Ovis aries: one gene and its partners. The protein of the gene in region 1 interacts with the protein of each later gene in a biochemical or structural test. Links are inferred from orthologs where the notes say so. Each region holds a gene or a part of one and is shown on either strand. Other genes may lie near its edges.

What was found. The genes of interacting proteins can lie anywhere in the genome.
Region 2: the proteins of NXF1 (region 1) and RBM15 form a complex in vitro, tested with the Homo sapiens proteins (2 studies listed by BioGRID). The link is inferred for Ovis aries from reciprocal best matches to the Homo sapiens genes NXF1 and RBM15.
Region 3: the proteins of NXF1 (region 1) and NUP153 form a complex in vitro, tested with the Homo sapiens proteins (2 studies listed by BioGRID and IntAct). The link is inferred for Ovis aries from reciprocal best matches to the Homo sapiens genes NXF1 and NUP153.

The regions. Positions count from the first base shown.
Region 1 is NC_056074.1:37,645,504-37,649,848, reverse strand, and holds the start of NXF1 (nuclear RNA export factor 1), read left to right. Parts: upstream 1-1,537; 5' UTR 1,538-1,650; coding exon 1,651-1,678; intron 1,679-4,345.
Region 2 is NC_056054.1:87,643,799-87,647,490, forward strand, and holds part of RBM15 (RNA-binding protein 15), read left to right. Parts: coding exon 1-946; intron 947-3,692. UniProt on the Homo sapiens protein: RNA-binding protein that acts as a key regulator of N6-methyladenosine (m6A) methylation of RNAs, thereby regulating different processes, such as hematopoietic cell homeostasis, alternative splicing of mRNAs and X chromosome inactivation mediated by Xist RNA.
Region 3 is NC_056073.1:39,059,940-39,063,631, forward strand, and holds part of NUP153 (nuclear pore complex protein Nup153), read left to right. Parts: intron 1-444; coding exon 445-1,065; intron 1,066-3,692. UniProt on the Homo sapiens protein: Component of the nuclear pore complex (NPC), a complex required for the trafficking across the nuclear envelope. Functions as a scaffolding element in the nuclear phase of the NPC essential for normal nucleocytoplasmic transport of proteins and mRNAs.

The DNA of each region.
Region 1 (4,345 bases):
CTCGGCGGCCTGCACAACCCCAACTTTGGCTGCAGGTGACTCTCAATCTGCCAAACGTGCTGCAGCCCGTTTTCTCCCAATTACAGCAAGACTGTCAGCCTCACTAGCCATGTCGTCATTTCTGGGTGGGAGCGCCGAAGAAGGGCCTAGGCAGAAATGGAGGGAGCCTGCTGCCCAGTATTACAACTGAAAGGGCTGGACTGATGACCCTGAGGGGCCAGGCTTTGGGCTCTGTATACACAGCTGCTTCCAGCAGGCCTAACCCAGTGCAGCAGTACTTAATTATCATGGAAAATTCCCTTCAAAGCAGGGTATACGATCCCAGAGTGGGTCTCTGATTAGTGGTAACTTCTAGGACCATCTCCAGAAGTATTTGGACCTGTTTCATCTGCATCTTCCAGTCCTACCGTTTTCCTTGGGCTGGATGAAGCAGGAGTTCTGCCTGCTGCCAGGAGTGAAAGGTGAAGAATTTGTTCCCAGCTCCAGCTGAGGCTCTTGGTCCCCTCTTGAAGCCCCTCACCAAATCCAAACCAGTCACAGGAGAATGAAGTAGAGATCTGCCTGGAATACCTACCCTACCCTGGAAGGTCAATATGCTTGTCAGTCCTGACCAGGACCCACAACCACATCATTCTGAGATCACTGGAGTACCCCAATTTCACACACCCCAAAGGAAGCTCAAGCTATAGTGACAACAGTCACACACTGGGCTGGCTGTAGTACCTTGGGGTTGGGGGCGGTAGTTATCTAGGAGAGCCCTGGCCTTTCTTAGCCCTGGCCTTTTAGTATTTGCTCTCCGTTTGACCTGTGTCCAGGGGGTGCTCTTGCTTGCATCTTAACTTTAGTTGACACACGATGTGGGTTTAAGCACAGCACATTGATGGTGGGTGGGGTGATCTGTGAAGATGATCAAAGCCTGACAAATGCAGTTTTTCTCATTTGACTCCACAACTATTGGGGGGGGGGGTGTTGCATAGATTGGAAATTTATTTCATAATATTTGCTGAGTTCCTGGTACATGCCAGGTATGGTACTGAGCCAGGTGCTGGGGAGAAAAAAAAAAAAGCCATGAATTAGTCAACTCCTTGCTCTCTTGGAGCTTACCTTCTAGTTTTCTATTTCATTTTATAGGCAAGGAAAGCAAGGCATAGATCTGTAGAAGGCAAAGGGCTGAGCTGAGACTTAAGCCCAGGCTGGATCCTCCTAGGGGTCTTGAAGCGGTCACTCCAAGGCACTGGTCTCCCATTCCTCAGAAGCCCTTCTTGTGGCCCTCCTTCCCTTTTTCTTTTTGAACCCTGGGGTGCAGTGGCCATCTCTGCTTCAGTGCCAACCTTGGAGGTGCTGCTTACCGGCCGACGATGAAAGCAGAGGGCAGGTGCGAGTACTAATCAGGGGGATCAGTAAACTAATCACTACTGGGCGGAGCGTCGGCCTCAAGCTCCGCCCCGGTGTCTCTGCTGGTCGAATGCGCACGCGCATCTCCCAGCGGCTCCGCCTATGATCGTGGGACGTCGACAGCGCGCGACACGGTCTCCTTATAAACGCGGTGGTAGCCGGCGTAGGAGCACTTCGACCTAGAGCGCCTGGGCATTCGGACGTTTGGCTAAGTGGCGGCCCGCGACGCAGCCCGCCCCTGCTTCTAGCTGTGCCATGGCGGACGAGGGGAAGTCATACAACGGTCAGTGCTGGTCCTTGGGCCGGGGAGAGGGGCGATCTGGAGCCCCGCTGGGCAGCGCCGGCCTAGGCCGCAGCGCCGGGGCGGGAGGCCGCGAGGGGCCGGGTGTCCGCGGGGAACGGCAGTGAGTGGCGCGGGCCCGGGGCGAGGCAGCCCGGGCCCTGGCTGAACTCGAGGGTGAGTGCCCGGCTCGTTGACCCCAGAATCCTGGCGCTGTGAGCACCTGCGGCTCGGAGCGGGTGGCTCGGCGGTGAGGTGACTGGATTCCTTTGAACTTTGTGGGTGGTGGATGCCTGTCAGTTCAGTTTGGCGGCTATAGTAATGTGAGTCAGTACCCTGTTCTTGGGCTGCCGGTGCCCTATTTTCTACCGTGCGTCCAGTCGGTCTTGCCCCCTCCCCCGCCGTCCGCAGCTTTAGCTTTAATATTCTAGACCTACACTTTAACTCACTGTTTTAGCCAGAACACTACAATGGGTTTAGATCCAGAGTAGTGGTTGTTGGCCATGCCGATCATATGTGAGTTAAACACTCAGGCCTGATTTTCCATCCCCTGAAGGAGGATAGAAACAGTACCTGTCTCCTGAGTTTGTCTCCATGTGTGTGTGTTTGTATTAAAACGAGATCGTGTGCGTCGAGCGCCTGACATCGGATAAACTTATTGATAAATGTTAACTGCACCTTCTAGTCGTCTATTTTTTCCCTAGGGTCGTTTCATGAGATTCAATGTTTGCAGAGTACTGGGCTTCCCTGGTGGCTCAGAGGGTAAAGTGTCTGCCTGCAATGCAGGAAACCCGGGTTCGATTCCTGGGTCGGGAAGATCCCCTGGAGAAGGAAATAGCAACCCACTCCAGTATTCTTGCCTGGAAAATCCCATGGATGGAGAAGCCTGGTAGGCTATAGTCCATGGGGTCGCAAAGAGTCGGACATGACTGAGCGACTTCACTTCACTTCACTTCATAGGGCTCTTTTTCAGAAGCCATTTCTACACACCACAGTTGAGAGGAACTCCAGAGTTTGAGAATAAAATTTATAAAAGAAACCATTAGATTGATCATACTTGTAGTTGATGTTTGTACTCAGTAGGCAAAAGGAGTATTGATTAAGTTAATGTAATCATTATGATTGGTTTACCTGGATATGAAAGAGGTCACTTGGGGTTAAGTTGATGTGGGTGGGCAGACAGCAGATTTCAGGTGACTTTTCGGAGAATGAGTTGTGTCCAGTTACCCTTGGGTCACTTCAACATTCACTTCAGAGTGGCAGTTTTTTAATATGGTTGATTTACAACATAATATTAGTTTTCAGGTATGACATGAAAGGGAACATAGTGATTCAGTATTATGATAGATTATACCCCATTAAAAGTTATTACAAAATAATGGCTGTCACCCCCCGTGCAATAATATATTATTGTTGCCTATCCATTTTATACTTAGTAGTTGCTGCTGCTGCTGCTGCTGCTAAGTCGCTTCAGTCGTGTCCAACTCTGTGCGACCCCATAGACGGCAGCCCACCAGGCTCCCCCGTCCCTGGGATTCTCCAGGCAAGAACACTGGAGTGGGTTGCCATTTCCTTCTCCAATGCATGAAAGGGAAAGTGAAATCTCTCAGTCGTGTCCAACCTTCAGCGACCCCATGGACTGCAGCCTTCCAGGCTCCTCCGTCCATGGGATTTTCCAGGCAAGAGTACTGGAGTGGGGTGGCATTAGTAGTTGGTATCTCTTAATCCCATAACCTTATCTTGCCCCTCCTGCTTTCCCTCTCCCACTGATAACCAGGAGTTTGTTATCTATATCTGTGAGTCTGTTTCTGTTTTGCTAAATATATTCGTTTTAGTTTTTACATATGTGATATCAGACAGTATTTGTCTTTTTCCGACTTACTTTACTAAGTATAATAACCTCCATGTCCATTCATGTTGTTGTAGTGGCAAGATTTCATTCTTTTTTTATGGCTGAGTAGTATTCCGTTGTGTGTGTGTGTATACCACATCTTTATCCATTAGTCCCTTGATGTTCATTTGGATTGCTTCCATATCTTTCCCTCTGTAAACAGTGTTGCTGTGAACAATGAGATGCAGGTATCTTTTTTTTTTTAATTGACCTGAAAACAAGTGAAGCTCATATGTATTCTTCCCTTTTTCTTAGTTTTGATGCTTTAAAGAAAAATCTTTATATTGGAGTATAGTTGATTTACAGCAGAGTGATTCAGTTATACATGTATCTGTTGTTTTTCAGATTATTTTCTCAGGGAGGTTATTACAGTACTGGGTAGAGTTCCCTGTGCTATATACAGTGGGTCCTTGTTGATTATCTGTTTCAGATAATAGTAGTGTGCAGATGTTAATCCCCACTTCCTCATTTAGGCATGCATCTTTTTAAATTAGTACTTTTTTTCTTTTTTCTGGATATATAATTGGAGTGAATTTGCAGGATCATATGGTAGTTCGAATTTCAGTGTTTTGAGGTGAGAACAAGACTTAAAAGAAGCCTTTCAATTGGTCGTAGTTGTAACTGACATTTGTGCTTTATAGGCAAAAGAAGTATTGTTTACTGAAAGCTGATGTAATCATTGTGATTGACTTTTCAAGATGTGATCAAATTTTGAGTAGGGGTAGTCTTAGAGAGTGAACTTATGGTTACCAGGGAGAGGTGGGTAGGGAAGGGACAGA
Region 2 (3,692 bases), on another chromosome or scaffold:
AGGAAGCGAAGGCTGCCTGAGGAGAGTGGGGGTCGGCATCTGGATAGGTCCCCAGAGAGTGACCGTCCACGAAAACGTCATTGCGCGCCTTCTCCTGACCGCAGTCCAGAATTGGGCAGTACCCGGGATCGCTACAATAGCGACAACGATCGATCTTCCCGTCTTCTCTTGGAAAGGCCCTCTCCAATCAGAGACCGACGAGGTAGTTTGGAGAAGAGCCAGGGTGACAAGCGAGACCGTAAAAACTCCGCATCAGCTGAACGGGATAAGAAGCACCGGACAACTGCTTCCACGGAGGGTAAAAGCCCTCTGAAAAAAGAAGATCGGCCTGATGGGAGTGCATCCAGCACCAGCACTGCTTCATCGAAGCTGAAGTCCCCTTCCCAGAAACAGGATGGGGGGACCGCCCCTGCAGCAGCAGCATCTCCCAAACTCTGTTTGGCCTGGCAGGGCATGCTCCTGTTGAAGAACAGCAACTTTCCTTCCAACATGCATCTGTTGCAGGGTGACCTCCAGGTGGCTAGTAGTCTTCTTGTGGAGGGCTCAACTGGAGGCAAAGTGGCCCAGCTCAAGATCACTCAGCGTCTTCGTTTGGACCAGCCCAAGTTGGATGAAGTAACGCGACGCATCAAAGTGGCAGGGCCCAATGGTTATGCTATTCTTCTGGCTGTGCCTGGAAGTTCTGATAGCAGGTCTTCTTCTTCCTCAGCCACATCAGACACTGCCACCTCTACTCAGAGGCCACTTAGGAACCTCGTGTCCTACTTAAAGCAAAAGCAGGCCGCTGGGGTGATCAGCCTCCCTGTGGGGGGCAACAAAGACAAGGAAAACACCGGAGTCCTTCATGCCTTTCCACCCTGTGAGTTCTCCCAGCAGTTCCTGGATTCCCCTGCCAAGGCACTGGCCAAATCTGAAGAAGATTACCTGGTCATGATCATTGTCCGTGGTGCGTCTTAAAGTCCATGTGTAACTTGTATTTAGTACTTTGACATGGTTCCTGTTTTGTGATGTGTAATGGGATACAGCATCGGATGAAATTTTCTTTTTAATTAGTTGTTTAGTTTTAGGTTTTTTCTTTTTTATATTTTTATAAACCTCTTTAAAAAACAGAAGTCAGGAGAGTTTAGCTATTATTTTAAGTGAAAGGACTCCCCTAAAGGTAGCAGGCAAGTGGTTTACTTTAATTAGGAGTTTCCACTCTTATGTGTAACTGTTTTCCTCTTTTTCTGCGAATTTTTTTTCTTTTTTAATCTTGAACTTAAAAAAATCCTCAAAGTTACAAAACCAGAAATTTGAAAAGTTAGAATTTGAAAAACAAAGAGCCCACTAGCTGTAAAAAGATAATACACACCTAAAAATGACTTTGATTGGTAGGTCGGTAAATAATTCCTGTACCAGAAATATTATTTGTGCGGCTGAAATTTGAGCAGGGATCTCAAGGAGTATATATAAGCTGGTAAAGGATACATAAAATGTTGCAATTACTTTAATCAAGTATTTGAGTATTTTTCTTAAATGGTGTGTTCCCAAGAGCTTGCTTTAACATATATGTTTTTACCATTAGTTTTTGAGTTCTGTATCCCATATATGCACTTTTGGTTTGTAGCTGTTCAGTAAAAATAGAGGAGTGTGTTACAAACCACGTTGTCTTTTGCTTACACTAGTATGCAGGAAGTGAGTAGGTGCTTTTAAAATCACAATTCTTTGGTCAGTTATTGGTGTGTGGTGGTGTTTTCACTGACTTTCAGAGGGGTATAGCAGGTACAGTTCTAATTGTTGCAAATTTCAAAACTTGTGTTTTTCATCAGAGGTGAGTTTTTATTTTTGTATTCACCCAAATTTCTGACTTCAGTAATAGAAAGAAGAGTTGTCTGCAGGCTCATAAGTCATCCTTTTATTTCAGTGGGCATTAATCACCCATATCTGGATTGCAGAATTTTTTTTAAGTCATTGTGAAATACTTTTGACATACTCTAAAAATTTTGCTTGGATTTTTATTTTCATATTTAAACAGCGATGACTTCACATTATTGAAAGTATTTTGAGTATCTTTGAAATTTTGTGTTTATATTTTCGCTGGTGTCCAGCCACAGAGAATTGAAATAATCAGTTTAGGAAAACCGTTTTTTAGTGGTTTATTTTCTCAGAGACCTGAAATTAGTATAAAATAATTTAGCCCACTTCCACATTTTTTTCCAAAACTGAAGATTATCAATTTCTGATTCTTAACAAGAGCTTTTGCTGCTTAACATTAATTCATGGTTTCCTTGTCTTTTTAATTTTCCTCCTCCACCCCCAACCCCTAGTTTCTCACGTCATTTGTAAGTGTATTTTCCCCTGTGGTTTAAATGTTGAGGACTTTAGCCAAAGCCCTTGATATTTAATTATGATTAGAAACTTGAGGACCTTTGGATCATGGTCATGTTTCTATGCTATGTAAGTGACTTACTGAAAGCCTGGCAGAACTCAACTGTTTTCTTTCTGTTATCAAAGCGGATAGTTTTAAAATAGCACCAATAATAACCCAAGAAAACGTCATGTAATTTTTAATTGTCCGTTATGACAGGTGTCTAATGCATGTTAGCATGAAAGCCTCATCACTGCTGTGTCATCCTTTTTAGTTTTCACTATGCATTTATAAGTTTTCTTTGTAAGTTTGGAGACTTTTGTGTTTTTTGTTTTTAAACTGGAAAAACTAGCCATTTTGAGAGAAGGAAGATAATAGGCTATGAGCACAGAGGTCCTTGGTGTGCCTGTAGGGAAAATACCTGAAGTCCTACAATGAACACTTTTGGTCCTTTTGCTTTTAAAAAACTGCTTGACACGCTAATATGGAATAGACACCTGTTCAGAAACTTATGTCAGTGTGCAGTCTATGCATAAATAAATGGGGTCAAAGTACAATTTGTGGCTAGATACATTTTTTCCAGTTTAAATAGTCTCACTAACCATTAACTTTTGAATACCTTTTGATAAGATGGCTGGACAAATGATTTTACTTTTTTAGAGAGTGAAGTCCTTGATACCTAATTTTAACTCTAATCCAAAGTGTATGTGGCTTTCTTTTTTTTTTTTTTTTAAAGTTGATATGCCAGCTTATCGAAGAGTAGAGTACTGTGGGTTTTGCTCCATGTTTGTTTGATTCTTTATCTGACATCGTGGCTTTTGTTAGATCTGGGCAATTTGTGCTTCAGTGTTTTTGAAACAATGGCTTGATACCATTTCTAAATGTATGTATTATAACAAAATTATGTTTAGTTTGGTGCTTAGCTACAGAGTGCCATCATTTGGATGAATCTTATTTGTGTTGCTCATTCTATTGTTCAGGTTTATAACATTGGTAAACTATCTACCTAAACTTAAGAGTGGAATGAAAGCATTTGTCTAAAACAATCTGGTTCTAATTCTCGCTAGCCAGAATTTGTAATCTCAACATTGGATGTTCTTTGTGACAGCCAGTTGTTTCTTTTGCCTTTTTTTTTTTTTTTTAAATGTATTTGTTTAATTGATTTTTCTGGAACTCAAGTTCAAATGAATGGAATTTCTTAAGTATATCATTAAATGACTCATTAAGTATTACTGGTAAAAAAAGAACCATCAAGCTAATTTAGATTTTTAATCACAATTTCAAAGTTTATGAAAAATTAATCATTCAGCTCCTAGCCAATTTATTTTTAGTGTTATTTTGTTGG
Region 3 (3,692 bases), on another chromosome or scaffold:
GCCCCAAGTCATAAATTAGGTGTTGACTGAACTATAGTAAACTAAAATTCCTAGAGGAGGATGATACACTATAAACAAAACACCTTCTGTAGACTTTTAACTGGGTTGTCGGTTATTAACTATGTAATTAGTACTAGAAATACAGCTTAGGTGAAAACTCGCAAGTAGTTCTTGGATTGTAATAATTCTGTAATTAAGGTAAAAAATGTTTTCTCCCAGGAATAATATTACTAACAGCTATAAGCATATCACATTATTGGGTTGGCTGAAAAGTTTGTTTTGGGTTTTTCTGTAAGATCTTACGGAAAAAACCCAAATGAACTTTTTGTCCAGCCCAATATTAATTAATGTTATTAATATTTATTAACAGTAAACAGGGAGACATTCTAATCAAAACATTAACTAATTTTTCCCCTCCCACCCACCTCTTCCCCCCGGTTGTAGGTTTTGCATCACCGAAGGCAGATTCTCTTGCTGCTCAACCTGCCACCACAAGCCCGGTAGTTCACACAAGACCAGCAATAAGCAGCTTTTCTTCTAGTGGAACTGGGTTTGGGGAAGGTTTAAAAGCTGGGTCGTCATGGCAGTGTGATACTTGTCTACTCCAGAACAAAGTCACAGACAACAAATGCGTAGCCTGCCAAACAACAAAATTGCTACCAAAAGATTCTGCTAAACAGACTGCAACCGGGACACCAAGTAAAAGCGGCAAACTGACTGTTTCCACACCAGGGACGACAGGCTTCGGAGACAAATTTAAACCAGCAGTAGGAACTTGGGATTGTGATACCTGTTTAGTGCAGAATAAACCTGAAGCGATAAAATGTGTAGCTTGTGAAACACCGAAACCGGGAACTGGTGTTAAGCGAGTCCTTACGTTGCCAGCGGCTTCAGAAAGCGCTGTAACTGTGGCTGCTTCCTCCTCCAGCTGCACTGTGACCACTGGTGCCTTAGGATTTGCAGATAAATTCAAAAGGCCCGTGGGATCTTGGGAGTGTCCAGTGTGCTGTGTTTCTAATAATGCAGAAGACAATAAGTGTGTGTCCTGTATGTCTGAGAAACCAGGTACGTTTATGGCTGTTTGGAATAATTTTGTTCATTACTTTAATAGAACATTTTAATTCTATTCTCTGTAAACCAGCGAAGAACAAACCTCAGTATTTTAGATGTTTCAGGACAAGCATTTCCTCCTGTGTCAATAATTTTCCAAACTGTCTTGAGATGAAAATGACTTGCCTGGAACTGACACTGCACGTTCTCTTAACCTAGGTTGTGTGTTAATCAGTCCAGCATTTGCTTTGACCTCTTCTTTGTGTGCACTTTTATTAGAAACTTCTGGCTCTTCGTGATCTATTCAAAGTTGGCTGATACAGATGCAAAGGTCTTAGAACGGAGCACTCTTTCTCAGACCTTTACACAGAATAAAATACTACTCTGTCTCTTTTTCTCAAAGAGGAAGTGAGGATGGCTAGCGGTCATTTCCACAGCTAGTTTCATTAAGGAGTAGACAGTATTGTGTTATCAGAAGAGTGTGGCTGAGCACTAATGATGATACCTATACCTGTATGTGCTATCTGCCAGAGACCCTGCAATGATCATAAATTATTAAATCGTTAATGAAAAAGTACTATTGGGCAGACAGAAAAATGGAGCTAGAGTTGAATTTTTCCTGTTTCTCTGTTCAATTTTGAAAGAGTTACTGAAGATTTACACTGATCTTTAATTCATTTGGAATTAATTCATTTGACTCTTTGATGTTTTTGTAATGCTATTATATAATTCTTTGGTACAGATACATGGTAACATAGATACTAAATAAAACATGTTATAAGTGTCCTGGGAATTATACTTCCTATTCTTATTGCATTATTGATGGATGCGTGGTTTTGTGTCTACAGTGAAAAGCTCTTCATAGCCTAGAACCCTATCCTAACACAAGGGGTGTGCTGTATTTCTTGATTCCTGCTAGACATCTCTACAGGAGTAAGATTTCAGAGTCTTTATTCTGAAATATCTTTCTCTTCCCATCTGTCATCCTCATTGTCCCTTTAACAAAAAAAGCTGTTGATGGATGTCTGAGAGCAAAATTAATTGAGTTGATGGGTCAAACTTGTACTTTTGTTCAATCATCTGGTGGCTTTTTGGAGGATGGATTTGAAGGCAACAAAATTTGGAGACCAGAGCACAGATTAGGAAGTTGATCAATAATATGGATAGAGATAGTGGTGATATGTACTAATGAAATCAAATGGAGGGGGATAGAATAATGTATTGAGTTGAAGATACATTAAGTTCAAGCTGCTGAAGTTGACAGATATGTGTGAGAAGACTTTTTAAGATATAAAACTGATTATAGACACTCTGGACTGGAGACACAGATTTGGGAATCATTCACTCATAATTTTCAAATAAATGATGAGAGAAGAGGTGATGTAAGGTGAGTGAGTGGAGCAAACAGAGAGGATAGCCTAAAACTGAATTCTGCTTAGCTTAAGAGAGTAGCAAGAATAGAACTTTGAAACAGTTAATTGAGAGGAAAGACAAGAACCAAACAAGAACCATGTAATACTGGTTGCTTCTTACGAGGATGGGTTTCAAGGGAACCAAACCAGAAGTCTCAATAAGGCTGTCCACTAGAAGAGCAGCAGAAGGGTCCGAGGAAGGAATGAAACAGATTGCAGAGATACATCAGGAGGAGTTGTCTTCTCCCCAGGCCAGCCAGGTGCGTAGTGGAACGCCCATCAAAGAGGTAGTACAGCACTGACGCCCGGAAGTATGGGTCTTGGGTGCTAATGGGAAAGATTTTGTTGGTGATTAAAATCATCAGGGTAGATGAGACCTTGTGAGAGGGCAGTGGACCAAAGACGGTAGGATTTTATTGGCAAAGTGGAAGAGAACATAACGATAAAAACCACAGAGCAGGTAACTGGGAGAAGTGACAACAGCCGGAGGACGTTGAGAGAAGTGGGGCTTCCAGAGCGAATGGCTTTACTTGCAACCCTGCATTTCTTCACGCAGCTGCGCCTTACTGAGCCGTCCCTCCTATGCTGCTGCCTCTCCTCACGAAATTGCTACGTCTGCTTAAAAGTGTAAATAGGACCTCTGTGAATCCTCCTGTCTCGTAGTAGTGTCTTCTCTGTGCGCTTATTTAGATCGTTTGTCATTCCATCTTGGCGATGGTGGTACTATGCATTTATGTTTGTTTTACTTTCCCCTTTTTAGACCAGAAGCACCTTTAGAATCGACACTTTACTCATCTTAATATTCCCAGAACCTAAGAACATTACAGTGCTTAATCAATGTCTGTTAAATGGCTGCGTTTTAACCGAAATGCCTTGAACATAGTAGGTCACGTCTACTTGAGTTGCAACACTTCTGTGCAGAAATGGTCATTTCAGAGTCAGAGATCTGTGCTTTGGAATCTTGAAATTAATATGGCCATGACTGTGTATTTTATGTGTTAGGCTCTTCCCTACGATTTATAACTTATATTTTATAATCTGTGATGCTTAACAAAATTTGACAAACATTATTAAGGAAAATTTAGTCTTTTATGCCCTGATCTGTGAGCATCAGTTTAAAAAACAAAACAAAACATGGCTATTCAACCTTGGGGTTAAGAGGACACTCAACAGTGAGCAAGGTGAGTGTGAGTTGCTCATTTATAAGACTAAAAGAAATCTGAGATGTCT